7 linked regions of the Kluyveromyces lactis genome follow. The protein of the gene in region 2 binds, or shares a complex with, the protein of the main gene of each other region. Links are inferred from orthologs where the notes say so. Each region holds a gene or a part of one and is shown on either strand. Other genes may lie near its edges.

Evidence for each region.
Region 1: MRP20 (region 2) and MRX14 share a complex: the UniProt entries of both Saccharomyces cerevisiae proteins name them as parts of the mitochondrial large ribosomal subunit. The link is inferred for Kluyveromyces lactis from reciprocal best matches to the Saccharomyces cerevisiae genes MRP20 and MRX14.
Region 3: MRP20 (region 2) and MRPL24 share a complex: the UniProt entries of both Saccharomyces cerevisiae proteins name them as parts of the mitochondrial large ribosomal subunit. The link is inferred for Kluyveromyces lactis from reciprocal best matches to the Saccharomyces cerevisiae genes MRP20 and MRPL24.
Region 4: MRP20 (region 2) and MRPL22 share a complex: the UniProt entries of both Saccharomyces cerevisiae proteins name them as parts of the mitochondrial large ribosomal subunit. The link is inferred for Kluyveromyces lactis from reciprocal best matches to the Saccharomyces cerevisiae genes MRP20 and MRPL22.
Region 5: MRP20 (region 2) and MRPL23 share a complex: the UniProt entries of both Saccharomyces cerevisiae proteins name them as parts of the mitochondrial large ribosomal subunit. The link is inferred for Kluyveromyces lactis from reciprocal best matches to the Saccharomyces cerevisiae genes MRP20 and MRPL23.
Region 6: MRP20 (region 2) and MRPL31 share a complex: the UniProt entries of both Saccharomyces cerevisiae proteins name them as parts of the mitochondrial large ribosomal subunit. The link is inferred for Kluyveromyces lactis from reciprocal best matches to the Saccharomyces cerevisiae genes MRP20 and MRPL31.
Region 7: MRP20 (region 2) and MRPL11 share a complex: the UniProt entries of both Saccharomyces cerevisiae proteins name them as parts of the mitochondrial large ribosomal subunit. The link is inferred for Kluyveromyces lactis from reciprocal best matches to the Saccharomyces cerevisiae genes MRP20 and MRPL11.

Annotation. Positions count from the first base shown.
Region 1 is NC_006042.1:1,781,151-1,783,807, forward strand, and holds MRX14 (mitochondrial 54S ribosomal protein bL34m), read left to right. Parts: upstream 1-1,673; coding exon 1,674-2,024; downstream 2,025-2,657. Other genes in the region: GEP5 (Gep5p), read left to right, coding at 344-1,261; MRPL1 (mitochondrial 54S ribosomal protein uL1m), read right to left, coding at 2,347-2,657. UniProt on the Saccharomyces cerevisiae protein: Component of the mitochondrial ribosome (mitoribosome), a dedicated translation machinery responsible for the synthesis of mitochondrial genome-encoded proteins, including at least some of the essential transmembrane subunits of the mitochondrial respiratory chain.
Region 2 is NC_006038.1:504,317-507,404, reverse strand, and holds MRP20 (mitochondrial 54S ribosomal protein uL23m), read right to left. Parts: upstream 1,270-3,088; coding exon 544-1,269; downstream 1-543. Other genes in the region: DNA-directed RNA polymerase II subunit RPB2, read left to right, coding at 2,050-3,088. UniProt on the Saccharomyces cerevisiae protein: Component of the mitochondrial ribosome (mitoribosome), a dedicated translation machinery responsible for the synthesis of mitochondrial genome-encoded proteins, including at least some of the essential transmembrane subunits of the mitochondrial respiratory chain.
Region 3 is NC_006040.1:1,064,067-1,067,049, forward strand, and holds MRPL24 (mitochondrial 54S ribosomal protein bL28m), read right to left. Parts: upstream 1,663-2,983; coding exon 895-1,662; downstream 1-894. Other genes in the region: KLLA0_D12540g (60S ribosomal protein eL36), read right to left, coding at 212-227; KLLA0_D12584g (uncharacterized protein), read right to left, coding at 1,966-2,983. UniProt on the Saccharomyces cerevisiae protein: Component of the mitochondrial ribosome (mitoribosome), a dedicated translation machinery responsible for the synthesis of mitochondrial genome-encoded proteins, including at least some of the essential transmembrane subunits of the mitochondrial respiratory chain.
Region 4 is NC_006040.1:701,768-705,101, forward strand, and holds MRPL22 (mitochondrial 54S ribosomal protein uL22m), read left to right. Parts: upstream 1-1,687; coding exon 1,688-2,587; downstream 2,588-3,334. Other genes in the region: TDA7 (Tda7p), read left to right, coding at 120-1,286; SHR3 (Shr3p), read right to left, coding at 2,830-3,334. UniProt on the Saccharomyces cerevisiae protein: Component of the mitochondrial ribosome (mitoribosome), a dedicated translation machinery responsible for the synthesis of mitochondrial genome-encoded proteins, including at least some of the essential transmembrane subunits of the mitochondrial respiratory chain.
Region 5 is NC_006040.1:210,330-213,100, reverse strand, and holds MRPL23 (mitochondrial 54S ribosomal protein uL13m), read right to left. Parts: upstream 1,211-2,771; coding exon 743-1,210; downstream 1-742. Other genes in the region: CRN1 (coronin), read left to right, coding at 1-398; protein disulfide isomerase MPD1, read right to left, coding at 1,486-2,472; KLLA0_D02464g (uncharacterized protein), read left to right, coding at 2,713-2,771. UniProt on the Saccharomyces cerevisiae protein: Component of the mitochondrial ribosome (mitoribosome), a dedicated translation machinery responsible for the synthesis of mitochondrial genome-encoded proteins, including at least some of the essential transmembrane subunits of the mitochondrial respiratory chain.
Region 6 is NC_006041.1:1,082,059-1,084,666, forward strand, and holds MRPL31 (mitochondrial 54S ribosomal protein mL60), read right to left. Parts: upstream 1,142-2,608; coding exon 752-1,141; downstream 1-751. Other genes in the region: kinetochore-associated Ndc80 complex subunit SPC24, read left to right, coding at 105-674; CMC1 (Cmc1p), read left to right, coding at 1,479-1,790; APL2 (Apl2p), read right to left, coding at 1,968-2,608. UniProt on the Saccharomyces cerevisiae protein: Component of the mitochondrial ribosome (mitoribosome), a dedicated translation machinery responsible for the synthesis of mitochondrial genome-encoded proteins, including at least some of the essential transmembrane subunits of the mitochondrial respiratory chain.
Region 7 is NC_006037.1:292,671-295,802, reverse strand, and holds MRPL11 (mitochondrial 54S ribosomal protein uL10m), read left to right. Parts: upstream 1-1,736; coding exon 1,737-2,474; downstream 2,475-3,132. Other genes in the region: KLLA0_A03289g (putative nitronate monooxygenase), read left to right, coding at 1-978; TRM8 (tRNA (guanine46-N7)-methyltransferase), read left to right, coding at 2,788-3,132. UniProt on the Saccharomyces cerevisiae protein: Component of the mitochondrial ribosome (mitoribosome), a dedicated translation machinery responsible for the synthesis of mitochondrial genome-encoded proteins, including at least some of the essential transmembrane subunits of the mitochondrial respiratory chain.

The sequences.
Region 1 (2,657 bases), on a different chromosome or scaffold from region 2:
AATACTCCAAAAGAATCCGGAATGTCGCGATGCTTTGAGACTATGCCCACGTCAACAAGGAGCAGTAGCAGTGCCTACTACAAAATGTGAGTTTGTGTCGCTGTTCTTCCTGGTTTCGTTTCGTGTCTGGCTTTCCAAATTGCAATATGGAATAGTAAGTAGGTACGAAAATTTTCTAGCCTAGAGCACACACATGACGATCTTCATACAGAGAACAGGCTCGGAAGAGGTTCTGTATTAATCTAAAGACGAAGGTTATTACTGTTTAAAATAGGTCATAATCGAATGGACATACTGTGAAGTATTGTGCGTATTTTTTTGACAACAGTTTTGGAGGTTGACGATGAAGGCTAGTCTTCTGAGAACTTCGAAATTATACAAGGGTCTTCATTCAATAACTAAAGACGCCATTTCGAAGGTGGACACTTTCCCCAAGAATAAGCAACATGAAACGCTACATCGGTTAAACTCTTTCAATGAGAATCCAACACGCAAGACCTTGGAGAAATTAGTCTATTCTGTTCATTTCCATTTGTTGAACGATCCTCCTAAACACGTAGACATATTGAGACAATACCCTAATGAGTTGGCAAAATTTTGGCCCTATGAAATGCAGCACTCGATTTTAGAAATGGATGACCCAAATCTAACATCTCAAACGATTTTATGGTCTCGTAACAATAAGGATGCTTTGGATTTCTTGAGCTTCAATCGTCATAAGTGGCTGCGGCCGAAAAACTGGCAGACTCCGAATGAGGAACTTATAAAAGATATCACAGGAATTGACGGTCTTCAATCAACTCAAATTACAGAAGTATTAAGACTCCCTGCAGAAAAGATAAAGGAGACACTACGGCAAATTTTCGAGCATTACTATTTCTTGAAGACAAATCCGAAACTATGCGCTACAAAAAAACTCCAGGCACCAATCGTTGAGATCGGAATGAAACCTGATGGTTTCGATATAGCCGACATCAGGATCGATAACTTGTTTAAGAAAAAGGTCAAGCTAATTAGTGACCTGCTCTACTCGCAAAATCCGGTGCTGACTTCAGATGCAGAGTCTATATTAACGTCAATAGTTAACGACCCAGATCTCAATAGGCGAACGAAAAGATTGTATAAAAATGTTGCCAGCAGATCTTACCTTTTCAAAGATGGGAAGTTCGAAATAAGTGAACTTGCTAGAGGCGGATTTGTCCTGTCGAAGGAAAATTTGAGCGAGAACTTAGCTGCTGCCCTTGAGGAAGAACATAATTGACTTATGAACACACATCACGTGATATATAATTTACCTACAGCTACCATTTTAGCTCAATGTAAATAGAAAACACTTTAATAATAATGTTAGCCAGGAAATGAAACCGCCAATACACTTATTGTAACAGACTAGTCTAAGACCGATTTGAAGTTTCAGCGGTTTGCTAGAAGCCAAGTTTGTTCGCTTCCACAGATGCTTTCACTATTTCCAACATCCATCGATATTTTCATACATTTACATTAGTCTCGAGAAAGAAAAAATTTGAATTCAAAGAAATCAAACGAAGAGAAACCAGGACATATTTCTTGAAGACGAAGTCTCCTAAAAGTAGTCGCCCGAACTACTCATTAGTTATCGATAAGGATTTAATTCGAAGTGAAGAACAATTAAAATAAAATCTCATCCAGTCGTTATGAGTTTTATAACAAGAAATCTTCTTCAGTGGACCTCAAAACGTACATTAACCAGTTTCTCTAGTTTCTCACCTTTAAGAACACTAGACTCACGTCTTCATAGACCTTTGGCGCAAGTCAATCCAATGGAAATCACTTTACAATCTCAAACACAAGCAAATGGCTCATCAATATTTGGTATGTTGTTCGATTTGACTCAGAGAAGATGGAAAAGTAGAGGTAACACTTTCCAACCGAGTACTTTAAAGAGAAAGAGAAGAGTGGGGTTCCTAGCAAGGGCAAGATCTAGAAGTGGACAACAGATACTTAAAAGAAGAAAGAATAAAGGCAGATGGTATTTGACTTATTAGTTCTGTTCAACTTTCCAATCAAACCAGGAACGTTATGGAAGCGCCTGATTATAAAGAATGGCTGAATCTCCTGTATATATATCCACATCGTCATTATGTATTTTAAGAAAACGGAACAGTTTTGATTTTAGCTTTGCCATCAGAAAGCTGGCATGACATTAAGATGATTCTATCGGATAGGTTTATAGTTATCAATTGCAGAAGGAATCTTTTTTCTATTAACGATTTCTATGTACATGGGCATTATTTCTGAAGTAAGTTTCATTCTATCTTGACAAGGACAACAATTCCAGTTATTGTTCATAAAAATTGGGTTGCTTTATTAAGCAAAGTCAATCACAATACCAGGACCGTGTGTACTTGTCAGCGTAGTTTGGGACAATATGCTTGGTTTTTTCGTTTGTTGATTGGTGATAGATTGTTTGAAAGCCTTCTGTGTTGCCAACAAGTTCTCTAGAACTTCCTTGTCAGTGAAATGGGTCTTGGCAACACCTAAACTAATACTGTTACCACGTTGTCTGAATGGAACAGAGCTCATACTATCTTTAATCAATGGCTCAAGATCTTCGGCGACGGTTCCCTTCTTGGCAGTTGGCAGTAAACCACGAGGACCCAAAATTCTACCAACTTGAG
Region 2 (3,088 bases):
ATTTTCATCATCATTATCATCATTATCCTGTTCCTATTTAGACAGGAACAAAAAAACTAGAAACTCCGTGTACTAATTGGAATAGGAACTTATAAAGAACATTAGAATGCCAATCTTAGTATAATCAGCAACAGGAAAAAAAGAAACAAGATTAACCGTTTAGTGACTAAGTATGACATTAAATGAGCACCTGCCCGTTATTGAACCCTTCCATCCTGAACCGTGAAGATCAATACAACGGAAATTCAGGAATCAAATAGAAATCTTATACCGTTACTCTTTTTTCGCTTCATTTTTTTTCAAACTGGGACATACTGCACTTAACTTTCCCTTAATATTCACCACAATGTATTTATCTTTTATACATACATATAGTGTTCTTCAAACTTATTTCTCATTTAAACATTGAAAATGTTCACAAGTAGTCGTCATATTATTTTGCTATGACAGTTTTTAAATCAGTACTATATTTCATACATTATATTTACAGGATGTAATACTTTTACTAGAATTTAATTCATGAAAGAATAAATTCTCTGAAATTCATGTGCTTTTAGCAAGGACTTCACTGACCTTCTTGATTTGCTCCAAATATTGTTCCTTCTTTGCCTCTCTAGCCTTCTTATTCACTAGTCTTCTTTTAAGGAATCTAGGAATGAAAGGTTTTGCAGTTTCCTGGTATGGTCCCAATACACCATCGAATGCCTTTGAAGGTTTGTTAGCGTCGGATCCTAGTCTCATCCTATCGTTTCTGTATTTTTCCAATTCCTTTTGGAACTCAGTATTCCATGCACTCTTGTCCTCAGGTTCTGCAGGCCAGATAAATGGTTCTGCCATATCGATAGTCATCTTCTTGATTTGAGGACCACGGTACCTGGGCGACACCGGCGTAGCACGAGTGTATCTGGCATGCAATAACTGTGTAGTAACGTTCAACGCTCTTAAACCATAAAGGTGGAATAAATAATCTCTTAAATCTAATTTGTTAAACGATTTAGGAACGATGAATTTCGCTTGATATGGAGTGTGTTTAGCATTTGGTCTTAGTAGAATAACTCTCGCTTTAGGAAAATAGAGCTCTGCACCACCAACTTTAAAATGTGGTTTCTCAGTTTTAATCGCTTCACGAGTGTACTCCAAGATTCTGCTTTGTACGGATTGACGAGGTCTCTTGAACTGACTGGCTTTGACTGCTACTGTAGATTCCGTCTCTACCGCAGTAGCAAGGTTTCTCAAACCCTGTTTGAGAGATGGGAAAAAACGAGGCATTTGTTATAGATATTGAACAGAAACACTGGCGCAAAGATTACTACTTCACTTCGCTCTGCACTCGCAACTGAAAAGTCCCAAATAATCCTGTTCTTGTATGCGTCTCTTAGAAGCCTCATCTTCATACAAATCTTAATGTTAAAATCGAAATCATTTCAATGAAAAGCTTTAAAATACTCATTTTCCATGTTAGTAGATATTAGAAAAGCTGATGAGTACACATTTTGGCACGAATCTAACGTAGAATATGTCGTACAAAACTGGAGAGCTCTGGGATGTTTTAGAAGAAAGATTTTTTATTGGAAAAATCAGAGCGTAGGAAATGATCTTCACGTGACCTGATATATTGAAATTTTTGAATAAATGCTGTTACCCGTTTGTGACGTGGGAAATGATGTTCTCTTTATAGTGAAGAAAAAAAATACTCTGGAAGCTTGAAATTGAAATATTATTGTTTTGAGAGGCGAAACGTAATTACCGATTGATCGTTAATAGGAAGATTGGAAGAGAGAAGAGAAAAGAGAGTACCAGTCGGCTTAATCATCTTCTGTCAGAGTGGGGTTTGTTTCGGATTATTGGGTAAGTCCTTAACTCTTTGTATTTGGGGTGTGTTTTCTTCTTTGTTTGACCAGTAATACACATTTCTTTTCAGGTTGCGAGCAACACAACAAAGAGTGTTATTCTGTACTTTAATAATAAGCACGCACGTACGCATTATTTGCCACGGTTGTGAGGTCAGTGTAGATTATTAACGTTTGCAATTCTTAATACAGACCAAGGATGACTGAATACTATGATGAAGATCCATATGGGTACGATGAGGAAGAAGCTGCTATTTCAGCAGAAGATTCGTGGACTGTTATCTCCGCTTTCTTCAGAGAAAAAGGTTTAGTATCTCAGCAGTTGGATTCTTTTAACCAATTCATCAACTATACGATTCAGGATCTTATCTTGGAAGACAGTACCTTGATTTTGGAACAATTAGCACAGCATACCACTGAAACGGACAACATTTCCAGAAAGTATGAAATTTCATTTGGTAAGATTTATTTGGCCAAACCATCCATGACTGAGTCAGATGGTGTTTCTCATGCGATGTATCCGCAGGAAGCCCGTCTCAGAAACTTGACTTACGCATCAGGTTTATTTGTGGAAATTCAGAAGAGAACTTATCAGGCTATTGATATTCCAGGTCGTGATTTGAAATACGAAATTATCACTGAGGAAAGTGAAGAGAATGAGGAAAATAATAAAATTTTCATCGGGAGAGTACCTATCATGTTGAGATCGAAGTACTGTTTGTTGGACGATTTGACAGAATCTGATTTGTATCGTTTGAAGGAATGTCCGTTCGACATGGGTGGTTACTTTATCATTAACGGTTCAGAAAAGGTTTTGATCGCTCAAGAACGTTCTGCAGGTAATATTGTCCAAGTGTTCAAGAAATCTGCTCCTTCTCCAATCTCACATATCGCAGAAATTAGATCTGCTCTAGAAAAGGGCTCTCGTTTTATCAGTACACTTCAGGTCAAGTTGTATGGTCGTGAAGGTTCCACCTCTCGTACCATCAAGGCAACTTTACCGTATATCAAGCAAGATATTCCCATTGTGATTATTTTCAGAGCATTAGGTATCATTCCAGATGGTGAAATCTTAGAACATATCTGTTATGATGTCAACGATTGGCAAATGTTAGAAATGTTGAAACCATGTGTGGAGGAAGGGTTTGTTATTCAGGATAGAGAAACAGCTTTGGATTTCATTGGTCGTCGTGGTACAGCTTTGGGTATCAAGAAGGAGAAAAGAATCCAGTACGCCA
Region 3 (2,983 bases), on a different chromosome or scaffold from region 2:
CTGTGCTGCAATCATAATTATGTCACTCATCTCACTTTCAATAATTCTTTCCTCAGTGCAATGTATTCCCACAATATATTACTGTTCCTCGTTTGATTCATTTGGTTATACGGTCTTATTCCAATTCTAGGTCCTTTGTTACTGATATCTCCCTCAAAATATTCGTTCGTTCGCTAGTTTCTTCGTTCATTCATTCATTCAAATCACATACCTGACTTAACGGCCATTTTGTTACTCTTTGTCGTTCGTGATGGTATTAAAACAACAGATTAAACAAGCTGTAACACTACCATATATCTATTAACAGTGTATATATTGATGCTCTAATCGTCAGAAAATTTTTATAATACTTTGAAAAATTGTGAAAAGCTGTAGCAGTATAGAAGTTCCAGAGGATGATTACCCGGAGGAGTGTTTGGGAGGGTATGGGAAGTGAATGGAAACCATGAGATGCCTAGCCTGGGGTCTAAGTGGGCAGTCCAGCGGCCAGTTTGGTGGAATGTCCAGGCCCAGACCGGGCAGTCCAGCTTAGGGAGGAAACGGGACAGGCCCTGCCCAGCTCGAAGCAAGCAACGAAGACGGATGGGATGTGTCTGTGCATCCTACCGTCAGCTCAGCGGATTTGGTGGACATGAGAAAATAATTTCCTAGTATGGAAACATTCTCATTTTCAGCAGAAATTGAGTATGTATGGGTGCAACAGTCAATAATGTCTGGGTGCAACAGTCACATGCACACCGTTCAATTCAATTGAACAGTGGGTGATTAACTCTTGCATCGGTCAGTCGGACAACTAACGCATAGTCTTCAAGCATCCTCCCAGCTCATGGTAGAATCTATTTTCTCATTGTTTACAAGCTTTTATATAAAATTGGAACAAAATCTATTCAGTTCTCATACAGTAATCGTACTCAAATCGAAATTCAAGGCCTTTAATCTCGATACGATGTCTGCCACGTCACGGGTAGCAAATTGGTCCATGAATTTCTTAAACGATAGATCTAATCCATCCGCTTTGTGTTCCATCTTTTCCAATGGGAAAAGGGTATGCAATAGTTTACGCTTACCAGCAGTAATTCTCAATGGTTCTCCATCGACAACAACTTTGTACAATACGGTGACTTCGTTGCCATTGGCATCTGTGACAGTCTCAGCGTCCTTATGTACAGGATTGGCAGCTTTTTCCTTAGAGTTCAGTAGTCTGTAACGGAGTTTCCAACCAGTAGGTCCCAATTCCTTAATTCTGGCGGCCTTTTCCTTAGTCAAATAGTTGTCAATACCACCTTCCTTGGTAATTGTTCTTAAAACTTTTGCTGTCATCTTAATACTAATCTTTCTGTTCAAAGTCTCACTCCATAGTCCTTTTCTAATAACGTTTGGACTCCATGATCTCCTGGTTTTTGTCTTCGATTCAGCGATGTTATTACCGAATTGGATGAAAGACGCACCGTATAAACCTTTGTTACTCTGTTTGTAAATTGGAGATTCTCCGTATGGATAATCAGGGAATTCCTTCTTCTCCTTTGGGATATATAATGGCTTGCTGTCGCCGACTTGATACGTCTTTGGAGTTGGGATCTGTCTGCTTTCAACTAATCTCCATTCTCTGAGGAGGTGGCTAAGAGTGGAAAACCCTCTTTGGGAACTTGGAAAAAACTTCATTCCAGATGAACGATCTCCGTGCTTATTGGTGAACGTACAGAGACTCTTAGACCAACTAGCTTCATACTAGGTTCAAGCTCCTTCTCTTCACCTTAGTGCATGTATCAAGTCGTTATTTTCTAAAATTTTGAATAAGCTTTGGAAAGATCAAAACCGTATACAGCGAGAATGGTAAAGCATAAGGAAATTTATGATTAGAATACACCTCTGCGTAATGGTTGGCGGTATCATGTATGTATGAAGGGTATGTATATATGTACGGCTGGATGGATATTGTGAATGAGGTCCCTGTTGCAATTTTTCTCATTTCTTCCATGGTGATTTGAAAGCCCAATTCCCGAGACGATTTCCCTTTGGATTGGTGGCATCTTTGGTCCAAGTCTTACCTGTGCGTAATTCATAGTTCTCTTTTTCTAATTCGTCAAGGCGTGTTCTGAGCTCTTGATTTTCGTCCATAACTTCCAGATTTCTTTCCATTGTTCTATTCAAATCTGCTTTCAAATCTGTGGGAATTTCAGCATCTGGATTAGGTAACGTTTGTTTATAAAGTTCACGTTCCAGTTGTTTCTTCAAATCTTCTATCTCTAGTAATAAATCCTTATTTTCGTCCTGAAGAGTTTCCATCCGAAGTCTGTTTTCAATTAGTTCATTGGCAATAGTGATATGCTCTCTGTTTAATAGCGAATAGTCATTTTCTAATTTCTTCAACTCTTTTTGAAGCTGTCTGTTTTTAATTCTTTGTTCCTCATATTGTTGTTCCTTTTCCGTTTCCAACTTGTGAATCTCATCGTACTCTTTCACGTAACGCTCCAATTGCAATGGAGTTAATTTGATTTCCAACGAATCAGAGATGAATCTATCAATATCGTACTCTTCTGGGTTCTCCTTAGAAGCATAGTGTTGGAAAAGGTCCTCCTTCAAGAAGTCTAAGAGAGAATCGAAACTGAGAATGATCAAATTACGACTGTTCTTTAACATCAACGTTAAACTGAATTTTAGCATCGATTCGATACCTTCAAGTATGACAATATCCATGATTCTGAGAACGAATTCAAGGGGAAATTTGTATGCGAACATCGTCAGGAACCATTGAGTTGCAAACATTGTAGATCTTATTCCCTGCCTGATCAAATGGTTATACAATTGAGGATCATTTTCCTCCAAAAGTGTATCAAATTGGTACAATTTCAACATCAGGCCAGGCATTCCCGGCAAGAATAAATCCCTTAATCCGTATACTTTCATGAGTTTCGTTAATAGAGAAAACGCTTGCCATTCTTCTTCACAGTTCAATATTAAAGTAGTAGCAATAAAACCCATG
Region 4 (3,334 bases), on a different chromosome or scaffold from region 2:
GTCGATTGCTACATCATTTTTTTTACCGAAAAACCGTTACAAGCGTAAAGCAGTTGTACCAAGGAAACTATTAAATTTCAAGATCTATAACAGGATCTCACTGGCCAGTTCACCTAAAGATGTTGTTCAACACTACCACTGACGGTACTGATTATTCATCTGTTGTTTCTTCGTCAGATACACTGACAGAAAGTTCGGAGTCGTTCTCACAAAGCGTTGCTAGTTTACGAACGGATTACATCAACCCTGACTCAGGAAATTCTACGCAGCAGCCACATGGTATGAAGACCAGGACGGTTCTGGTATATCCAAACAGATCACATTCGGATTCGGATTCACCTGGCATAGTATCGCCATCTACAGTTTGGGTACCGCCGTCAACAGATGATTCAACGTCGCATACAGATGTAGACACGGCAATGGTGACGGTACTTGAGATGAGCTCAGGACCGAGCAACATAGTAATGCAAACAATTTATCCCGAGAACACCGCGACCCAAGAATACACATCTGTTGAGGGTACAGAAGCTACTGCCACTGTGCCTACACCGACTTGGTTAACGTTGACCACTGAAGTACCGTCTTCTGAAACTGTGGTTTATTACACACGAGATTTCATCTTTACTGACACTTCAACCACCTTTACTAAAGGACTACCGACACTTACAGTGATACCCACAGAGGCTACTTTCACTACACCTACAGGTCCAGTTGTGACTGACACATCTTTTTACGAAAGATGGCTATCTGGCGCATTGGATTCCAACTCAACATCGTCTGGATCAAATAAAGATACAATAATCGGTGGTGTAATAGGAAGCGTGGGAGGTCTGGCGCTAATGATACTGGTGATCTATTTATTATTTAGGAAGAGACGAAGGAGAAATCTTATCGAACACGAAAAGAGCTTCTCCCACGACATTGGGAGAAAAATGGGATACGACGATATCGGAACGTTTATTGCACAGTCTCAGCAAACCACCAAGACTACAACCAGAGTATCGACGACTGCTCATAATAATAACAAAGTTTCAAAAAGTTTGCCCTCAGTGCCTCCATATGTTGCAGATTCTGTCAGGAGGCCACAGACGACAAATCCATTCGACGACGAATATGTTGTATCGATTGCAGATCCAGAGTCTCAGACGCCTTCCACAACATCACTACATTCATCCTTTGTGTCATCTTCCACCGATGAGGGTACACATGACACTGAAATGTCAGTTACTTACGATGAAAACCCACAGAACGCTCACGGATATTTAACGGAACTAATCGAACACTGATCTTACCAAACTCTAATTACAAAGTTTTCAAATTTGTACTTAAATTTTCCCTTCTATTCAATATACTTCTTTGTGCATCTTCAGTTATATAGTTCATATTTAAGGTTTAATTCCTAGCAATTCCACACTAACGCTTTTCTAATTTGTGATCTTACAACCCGTCAAGATAGTCGGACTTCAATATCTTCCTCCACACAGTAGAACCATTCCTTATATCTTCATGCCCGTTCACGATGATTTATATTTCCTAACCATCGAACAAAAAAATTTTGATAATCAAACATTGTACAGAAGAAGGATTGATCAAAGTAATAAAATGCCTACAGTATAATACTAGAGGCACGTGTAAATTACATGGTTAGTTGCAGGCTCTGTCATCAGTTCAACCTATATAAAATTTAATGCTATCGAGGACAGTAACTAGCCTGTTCGGCTTGGGAAAGGCTTCCGGTGTAAGAAGTTTTCAAGCTTCAGCATTGCAGCTACAAAAATCTGCACAAGGTTCGCTATTCGGTGAAGTCACCGATGGAGTGAATCCGTTGAAGGATGACGATCCAAATAAACTATCTAATAAGTTGACTACTGCTACCGAACTGTCAGATGATTTGGATGCTGCTACCCAGCTGGCAGAGGCTAAAAAGAAAGTTACAGCAGCCAATGATACACAATTACAGAAATATATCGAAGAACAAGACCCCATGATCAAAAGTTTACCAGAATTTTTGTTACCAAGAGTTAAGAAGGAATTCTATGAACAACAGGTTAGGTTGAACGGTGGGTTTTACGACAAAAGCGTGCGCCCTAAAGATCGTTCTTTGAGATTAACGAATGAAGAATTAGAAGTGCTTGAACCTAGTGTCTATGTTAAATCTTACAGAGTAAAATCATCTATGAAGAAGGCCACACAGCTGCTTAGACTTTTGAACGGATTGGACGCTAAGAAAGCTTTGACTCAATGTCATTTCTCCGATAAAAAGGTTGCCCGTGATGTTGCCGAATTATTGGAGCGCGGTATTAATGATGGTGTGAAGCTTGGCTTGGATGCCAATGACCTATACATCTCCCAGATATGGACCGGCAGTGATGGATTTTGGCAAAAACGTGTCGAATGGAAGGGTAGAGGTAGACGTGGTCTCATTGAACACCCATATGTGCATATCAAATGCATATTGAAGACCAAGAGTGTAACGAAGAGAAGACTAGAGCACGAAGCCAAACTAAAAGAACAAAGGAAGAAACCGTGGGTTCAATTAGCAGATAAACCCATCAGAGGTTCTATGGGTGGTGTTTACAAATGGTAATGAGATATTAAACATTATCATATTACGTTTATTTCCAATGATAATGGGTGAAGATAATATACAGCAATTAAATCATCAATAATAAGGTCCTTAGATTGTCTTTGGGTTTCATCTCAAGTTATCCATGTCGGAATAGCCAAGTATTTCATATCATTTATATAATATATAGAACAAGAGCTTGTAAATAGTGAAAGCAACGCGAAATACTTCACCGCATCAAACTGTAAGGAAACAAATTTCGTCTATTTCTTCTTCTTAGATTCCGTTTTAGCTGGTTCAGTAGTTTTCTCCGCCTTCTGTTGGTTAGCGGCAGATTCCTTCAATTGGTCTTTCCTCCATTGATCTAATCTTTGTTCATATTCCCAGGTACTGTACCACAAACCTCCTTGCAACACTAAGACACCAGCAAAGACAATTAAAATAATGATATTGGAAGAGGCAACAACAGCAATACCTTGCGCCTCAGAGACTTCACCCCAGTTATGGTAAACCGCAGATTCAACACCGGTCTTGATATTTGTTAAGAAAACACAGATACCCAAAACGTACAAAGCCAATGAACCGTATTCAAATAATTGCAAATCTGGATTTGGCTTGTATACCCTAATCAAGGAACCAATGACTCCCACAATGGCCACCGCACCAAGCATATAAAGGGTTGGCTTGGCCGTGTAGAATAGAGTCTGGTAGTGTTTCAAAGCGTTCTCAAAATGCTCCGGCGTGGCAGCAGGATTGAATAGGATATTA
Region 5 (2,771 bases), on a different chromosome or scaffold from region 2:
AAAAGGAAGAAAATTCGTCTACAGAAATTACCTCGAAGGCCTCAGCTTCTTCTAAAGTCGAAAGTACTCCAGAGGCAAAGGTCGAAGCTTCATCACAGGCTAGCGTGGAAACAAACATCCGTGTGAACCCTTCTCAGGAAGACAGCGAAGAAAAGCCATCTTCCAATCCGAATACAGGTGGCGCAGCTGGAGCAGCAGCAGCAGCTGGAGCAGCAGCAGCAGCTGGAGCATCTACGAACAAGTCTCTCAATTTGAGACAATCTGTAGAAACATTATCTGGATTAGTTCTAAAGTTGGAAAGCTATATTGATAAATTAACCGAGGAAAATACCCGCAAAGATGAAATTCTTGCTGCTTTGGAAGCAAAAGTAGATCGTCTTTTGGAGCAAGGGAAATAATATCAAATATGAAATACATCCTTCCCTAATTCTTCTCGTTTTTGTTCTGTTAAATGTTCTTTCTTCCAGGCAAAAGTATTATGCTTTGGCATACTGCGATGTAATATCTTTTCTATCTCTGTATGTGATTTGTATGTGATTTGTATGTGATAATTAACATATCTAAATAACAATCTATATGTACATAGTAAAGTGGAAGAGTTTAGTACAGTGAAAAACGACAGACATTGTATGCGTACTAAGGAGAACCATTTAGATCGAATAATAATATATACAGGGATTTTACATCACATGCTGCCGTTAACTTCTCAAAAATTAAGAAGTCACATAAAAATTCATCCACACTATTTCTTCTGGTGTTGCAGCTCTAGTTGCTGATCAGCAAATGCGGTGATATTACTCTTGTATGGATGTTCACTTCCATCGAAAATTTTTAATCTAGCAAGTCTGATCTTACGAAGTTTATTCTTGGGAAGCATTCCGGACACAGCCTTCTTCAAAACTTCACTGTAACCCTTGTTACTGATCATGTCTTCCATTGTAGTCAACTTTAATGAACCTGGTCTAGAAGTATGCGACCAGTACGTCTTTTGGGTCATCTTGTTCCCCGTCACACGCAAAGCTTGGCAGTTCGTTACCACAACATAATCACCGCAATCAGCAGATGGATGATACACTGGCTTGTGCTTCCCCATTAACGCTAGAGCAACCTGAGATGCCACCCTACCAAGCGTTCTCTTGTCCTTGGATATATCAACATGATGCCACATCCTGGCAAATGCCAAACCAGTATGTCCTACCTTTTGAGACATACTTCTAATATATTGTTATTTTGCCTCCTTTCTGACAGGTTAAAACGTGGCACCTAAAAAGTTAAATTTTAAGTGATGCTATTCAACTGTAATCACTTAGGTAAAGGGATAGTTCGGGACAGTCAGTTGTCTTTTAACTCATCATATGTTTAGCTTGACAATCGATTTGATTAATTGATGTTTAATTTCAGCTTGGAGCCAAATTTTTTTCAATCGCTCATATTACTGTTACCCGGATGTTAAACACAATCTATATACAAGCTACTAACAAATACCTACAACTCATCCTGAACTATGTCGTCCTTCGTAAGTTTAGTCTTCTGTTTGTTCTTTTTAGTCTTGGACTTCTTTGACTTTGATTTATTCAAAATAGATTTGAGGTATTCTTGTCTCTTACTGAGTGGACCTTCCCTTGGTTTTGACTCGAATTTCGAAAGGAACGTTGCAATGTCATTTTTATCTGTAGTTTTTAATATGTCTAGTTCGTCATAAGTATCTGTTTCTCTATCTATCACTACGATTCTGGGCGATTGTAATTCAGTTTCACTTTTTTCTAACGATTGGAGGTATTTAACAGTATTTGGCCAATTCTTTGTATCGTTCTCAAAACTCAATTGTGACACGCCTTGCAATTTCTCGTCCCAGATCGAATAGAAATCGTAGATCCCAAGCCAATCGAGGGCTACAGATTTATATAAAGTTGGAATCTTCTCCTTCTTTGAGATAAGCACTACAGCGTACCTGGTTCTTGAAGATTTTAATAGTTCTTCGAACTTACTGTAACGGTTCAACCGCTTCACGTAGTTTTTCACTCTAGATAAAGCGAAATCGACAATGGGCTTCAATTTCCTTTCTCCCTTGTACACTTCTGTGGCATGCTGTGACGCAGCACCATTGGAATTTTTCTTTGGGTTATCCAAATTGATCTTTGGAGGCCTGAATACCATTAACGTTGGGAACCCCGATACTCTGTTCTGTGCACATAATTGTTTATTCACACTTTCATCACAGTTCACTCCAGCAACTTGTACCATTCCAGAGAGGATTTTACCGGCAGATTTCATGGAACCTTTCAATTCCTGACAGTAACCACACCACGGAGCATAAAACATGACCAAAGTGGTGTAATTGGTCCTATGAATGACTTTATCGAAGTTAGAAGGTGTCAATTCCATGATATTCTCATCACGGTCGTAGAAATTGGCTCCGAACGCCAGTTCGACCAACAAAAACAATGCATATAGAAGACGTGTGTACATCATAGTCTGGAGGACTTTAGAAAATGTTCAACGATGGAAGTTAACAAGGTGGTTTACTCTCTTCTCTTTTTGTCAATTTCGAGTGATGTTGAATTTCTTGGCAGCAGTGGACCCAAAGATTTGATTTTGAAATCGTTAAAAGGAACATCGATACATAAGAACTAAGAAATAAGGGGACACGATCCCATCATCATCATCAAAGGAATAAGGAAACACACAATAGCAGAGCCAAGTGATTAGAGAATGTCATTAGAAACTAGTTCTCCATACGCATTTTATGCTTTCTACCAGTTATACAGCCA
Region 6 (2,608 bases), on a different chromosome or scaffold from region 2:
TAAGTGAACACAATTGACAATCTCATCGAATTGAATCATAAATAGATGTGATATATGAAACAGTACTGCACAGTACTGAGCAACAGTGGATATTGCAGCACCCAATGTCACGGCTCAATGATCCAGTAGAGCTTTTACAGCAAACCCGGTCCAATTTCATCATTGAAAGCGATGTCTCTAATATTAAAGAGATCAAGAGTAATATGAGACAGCTCACGAAATTGATGGCTGAGAAACAAACACACCACAATGAGCTCATGAAACAATTGCAATCACAGCTGCAAAGACAGCAAACTAAAGTGCAGGCACTTAAAAAGAATTTTCAGGAGCAAACAAGCCAAGTGAAACGCGTAGAGGACGAATTAAACATACCGAAATTGCAACAAGACATAGATAAACTGGTACAGGAAATTAACCAGCTTCGAGATACGATACAAGAGGGTATTCAAAAGGTCGTAGAAACACAGAAACAATTACTCAATGACGATACTGATGCTGCCCACACGATTGATGAGGAACCGATCGGTAAAGATGACAAGATACGTGTGCTAAAGTTGAAGTTGTTCCATTCCCTTGACGTAGCACTATATAATGACCAATTGCTCGATCTAAGGAATGAAGCCCGTCCATTATCATCATCATCATCATCTCACAACATCTGGGATGAACTATGATACCTTGATTTTATTCACTATGTACAGGGGCTACTTACTATGTAATAATAGAAGTTTTTAATGATGATTCATCCAAATCAGAAATGACGTGGGTTTCTTCTGATGGAAAGCTTGGTCCATTTGGGAACTTTATGTATACCCTTTCTATATCCCTTCGAGTACCTGTTGAATACACTGTACTTATCAGTAGCAGACATCTCCGGTTCCTTTGGGAAATACTGAGCCTTGTCTAAAATACGTAAGCTCTTCACACGAGGTTTAATCTTACGTAGATTCAGCTGAGATCCCTCAGAAACCGCCATATGGTTTCTTTCAAGATGAAGACCTAACTTAAGAGTTGAAAGAACATCATCAACGCTTCTCAAACGGTCTCTTTGTCTTGCTTTTTGAGGACCAGACATACGCCATGGGACTTTCCATAATAATCCACCTAATGCAGGTTGTGTAGCTCTGAATGCACCGAACATTTCTCTATGAAACAAAGATATTCAATTGACCCGGGTATGACAGAACCTAACGAGCTGCTTAAACAGTTTGTATAACGGTGCTACTGGCTGGCTTTTACCAATTTCCCACCGTAATTCATGGTATTAAATCTTTTAAACCTTCGAAATTTTTCAAAGTATCCATGAAAAAGCTTTAAATCTCAACATTATGCAAATGAACAATGTCAACTGATTTAAACGATTTTGGGGAACAGCCAGCGTATTGTCATTTGTAGCTGCTGCTGTGTCCATAACCATAGGTCAGAAGTTCTTATAGTACTGGAATACTGCACCACAAAGATAGATTATTCATTTAGAAATGTCAGAGGGCGTTGGAAAGCATAATCAAAGATTACCAATTTGGGTATTGAACCCTACCGAGGAGAAAGAAGCTCGTCAGAATTTGAAGAAATTTGCATATGCACAATGTGTAGAATACGTGGAGGCCATGGTCGAATGTTCAAAGATTCATGGATTGAAGCTTTTCCCAGCGTGTAACGAACCTCGTGACGCTATGCGCAAATGTATATTATCATACCAGAAGGATTCTAATCTGGATCGTCAACGTGACTTGATAGTGGAACGTAAGATTGAGAGACTTGAGGATCTTCTCAAGAAACAAAAGGAATAAAGTTGACATGATATGACATGACATGACATGCCACTGGGGTTACTTGTATATAGTAGTAGATACTGCACCATAATAAATTAACATTTTAGAAAGGCACATCCATGATTGAAGTTTATCTGCTTCATTGTTTCCCATTATAATTATAGTTTGTACAGGTGTTCAAAAGAGTAAACTAGTTTACATTAAGTCTAGAAGATCGGTTGCATGGGAATTCGAGGTGTTGTTGTTGTTATTATTGGTTTTCTGTGAAATGTTTACTTTCCCCATATCACCAGTGATATCGAAAAGATCATTTAGTTCGTCCAGGACGCCTGTACTTCTCGTGGCAGAGCTATCACCCATGTCAAGTAGTACATCATCGTTCATGTTTTTCAGGATCTCGTTCGTGGCCATTCCCTTTAATTCATCAATATCCTTATCCTTAATGATGTGAACTTCGTTGGGACGGCGTTGCATCTGCGAGATTGGTTTGAAATACACAGAGGATAGAGTGGAGAGCTCTTGAAGTAGACTTTGTAATGTTTCCTTGGAGAAGTGGTCCAAGGTAGAATGCAATTTAGGAATTTCATGCTTGTCAAATAATTGGTTGATGATTTGATCACCGTTGTCGATCGATAGACACCGCCAGTACATCATGGCCATGTCTCTAACGTCCAAATCGTGGACGTCTGTCGTACAAAGTTCCAAGATCTTCTGTAAGAAAGCACTTGAGACTGCATTATGGCATTTCACTACACCCATTAGAAGGGACATTTGAGTTAGGGATCCTAATTCATCGAAAACTTCTACCAGTGGTTCAAGCTTAGTTTCCAAATTTT
Region 7 (3,132 bases), on a different chromosome or scaffold from region 2:
GCTGTATCTAATTCTGGTGGTTTAGGATCGCTTGGACTTGGAGCAAGTTCTGTCGAAAAAGCAAGAAACGCCATAATTGCGACGCAGAAGCTAACCAAGAGTCCATTTCAGGTCAATTTCTTCTGTCATGAGCCAGAAGAGTTGAACGTGGAGGTGGCACGCAATTGGATCGAATATTTGAAGCCAATATTTGCTCGGTTCCATACTAAACCTGAAAAGGAATTAACCAAGATCTATAACAGTTTCTTGGAAGATCCAGAAATGCTTGCAGTGGTGTTAGAATTGAAACCGAAAGTGGTTAGTTTCCATTTCGGAGTGCCATCTGCGAGCACTTTAAAATCATTGAAGCAAGCGGGAGTTGTCACGATGGCAAGTGTGACTCAATTAAGTGAGGCTGAATTGGCTATTGGGCACGGGATAGATATCCTAATCGCTCAAGGTGTCGAAGCGGGTGGTCATCGGGGAATGTTTAACGCATCATTAGATCCGGCAATATCCACGAGAGATTTGGTGAAATTACTAAAAGCAAAGTTGGGCACAACTATTCCTATAGTAGCAGCAGGAGGAATAATGTCTGGTCAAGATATTAAAGGAATGATGGAAGTAGGTGCCAGTGGTGCTCAATTAGGAACCGCATTTGTCCAATGCAAAGAATCGGCTGCGTCAGAAAATTACAGGAAATTATTATTTGACAAAACAAGAAATGACATAACTCAAATCACAAGCAGCATATCAGGTCGTCCGGCGCGAGCTTTGTTGAATAGTTGGCACACTGAGGTGGATATTCCAACTAGAGTGATACATCCAGGGTATCCATTTACATACGATGTGGGGAAGCAGTTAAATGCCGTGTCTATTCCAGATCATGATGGTACCGCAAATTCTTTCGCAGCACATTGGGCAGGATCCAATGTCAGCCGTATCCGTGATATGGATGCGAGACAACTAATGCAAACCCTTGTCGATGAGATGAGATAATTTTCCAGACCGTTACAGCACAGAGCTATGCTGTTTCAAATGTACGAAAATCCCGAATAGCGACAAATTCCACAATGGAACGATGAAGTTACACTAATTGTGCATTATTCTCGTCAGTTACATGACTGCATTTATTTTTTCAATGACGAAGTAGAGTTGCATCTCTTCACAATTTCACTACGACCCTATAAATCCCGGACTACCTTTTGTAAGGAAGAAATCTAATCTTTCGACATCCCTCCTAGCTTGGACAGGAGACGTCTATAACGGATTACATTATTTAAGCATGATGTTGACGATAGCAATGACAGTTTGCAGTTCGAAAAGAAGAGCAGAACTCACCAATTCCTCTATCATTTTAATTTGAACAGTCACGTGAATCGACCTTTGCCTCATTCGGGATTATATATACTATAAAGAAGATATATAAAAAATTACCAATATACATTTTTTGCTGCCATGGAAAATATACGAGAAAGTCTTCATTCCCTTCTCCATTGTTGATACCGATTTTGGCACTCATACCACTTCCAATTACCATTCATACCTTCTTACATTGAATCTAACTATGCCTCTCGTCGGTTTATTGTACCAAGTATTGAAATTCGACGATACTGAAAAATCTGAAAAAAAATGAAAAATCTGAAAAATCACTGAAGATTGATATATTGTAGTGAAGAGATATATTGGTGGGAATGAATTCGCTTAAAGTGATTCGAATCCACAGCTCAGGTCATCACCAACCACTCAAAATAGCCATGTTGTCACTTTTGTTAAGAAGCCCAGTGGTGGTATCCCGTGTCTCATATGCTTCTCCGTTTTTGGTTAGGAGGTTTGCCTCTACGCAAATTGAGAGAACTGTCTCGGATGCAGTTAGAAGAACAGTAAAGCCTTTGGACTCTCGTAAGACTTTCCTAATCGACTCTTACAAAAACCTGATGGAAACCAGTCCGGTAATGTTGTTTTGTCATCATAACAATTTGATGAAAGGGGAGAATGCACACTTCAGAGAAGAAATTAATAAGGTAGGAGGCAAGTTAACAATCTTGAGAAACAATTTGTTCCAAGTATACTTGAGAAACTCACGCAAAAATGACCCAGCTGCTCCAGCGAAACGTTCAGAACAAGACTGGAAGCATCCTTTACTGCCCTTGTTCAAAGGTCCTACGGCAGCAATTTCGTTCCCAGAGACTGATCCGGCAAAGGTAAAAAAAGTCATGAAATTATTGGAAAAAGCCCAAGACAAGTTATTCGTTATTGGCGCCAAAGTTGAAAATGATGCGTACGATTTGAGACAATTGGATTCTTTCAAGGATCTACCAACAAAAAGTCAATTACAATCAGAATTACTGGGACTATTGCACGTCTTGAGCGGTGCTGGTTTAGTTCAAACTTTAGAAGCTGGCTCAAACATGTTGTACCTAACTCTAAAGTCTCACGAAGATAATATTAACCCAGATAAGCAGAAAAACGAGAATGACAGCGAAGGAAATTAAAGTCTTTTGCCCCATCATGAAATGTAATATAAATCATTTTTACGTATCGATGTACTTAAATAAACCCATCACATATTAATATAAACTCCTGTACATATTCTTTGCACGTGACTTTTTTTGATCTCATTTGTATATTGTAAAGAAATAAAAAGTTTTTGAACATGCACTGAATCAATTGAGTCGAGAAAACCTAGGCGATGAGGTTACAATTTTTCAAAGCAGTTACTTCCACCAACCGTTAATGTGTGTTGAATAAACATAATTGAATTCTAACAGTGACTCAAATTTCCTATAACTGCCTTTGTTAGAAAATATGAGTTTTAGTACTAGACGCCAGGCGTATCGTGCTGAGAAGCAAGATCATCGCAAAGAATTGAAACATGTCAAGATCGATGAATCTGTGATTGAAAAGGTGGATAAACTATCTTTACCTAAAAAAAAGTTTTACAGACAAAGAGCACATTCGAATCCATTCAGTGATCATCAGTTGGAGTATCCAATAAGCCCAGCTCATATGGACTGGTCAAAATTGTACCCTCATTTCTACGATAGTGAAAAGAAGAAAATGACGAAAGATGTTACCATTGCGGATATCGGATGTGGTTATGGTGGTCTTATGATCGATTTATCTCCAGAATTTCCCGATGAAATGATCTTG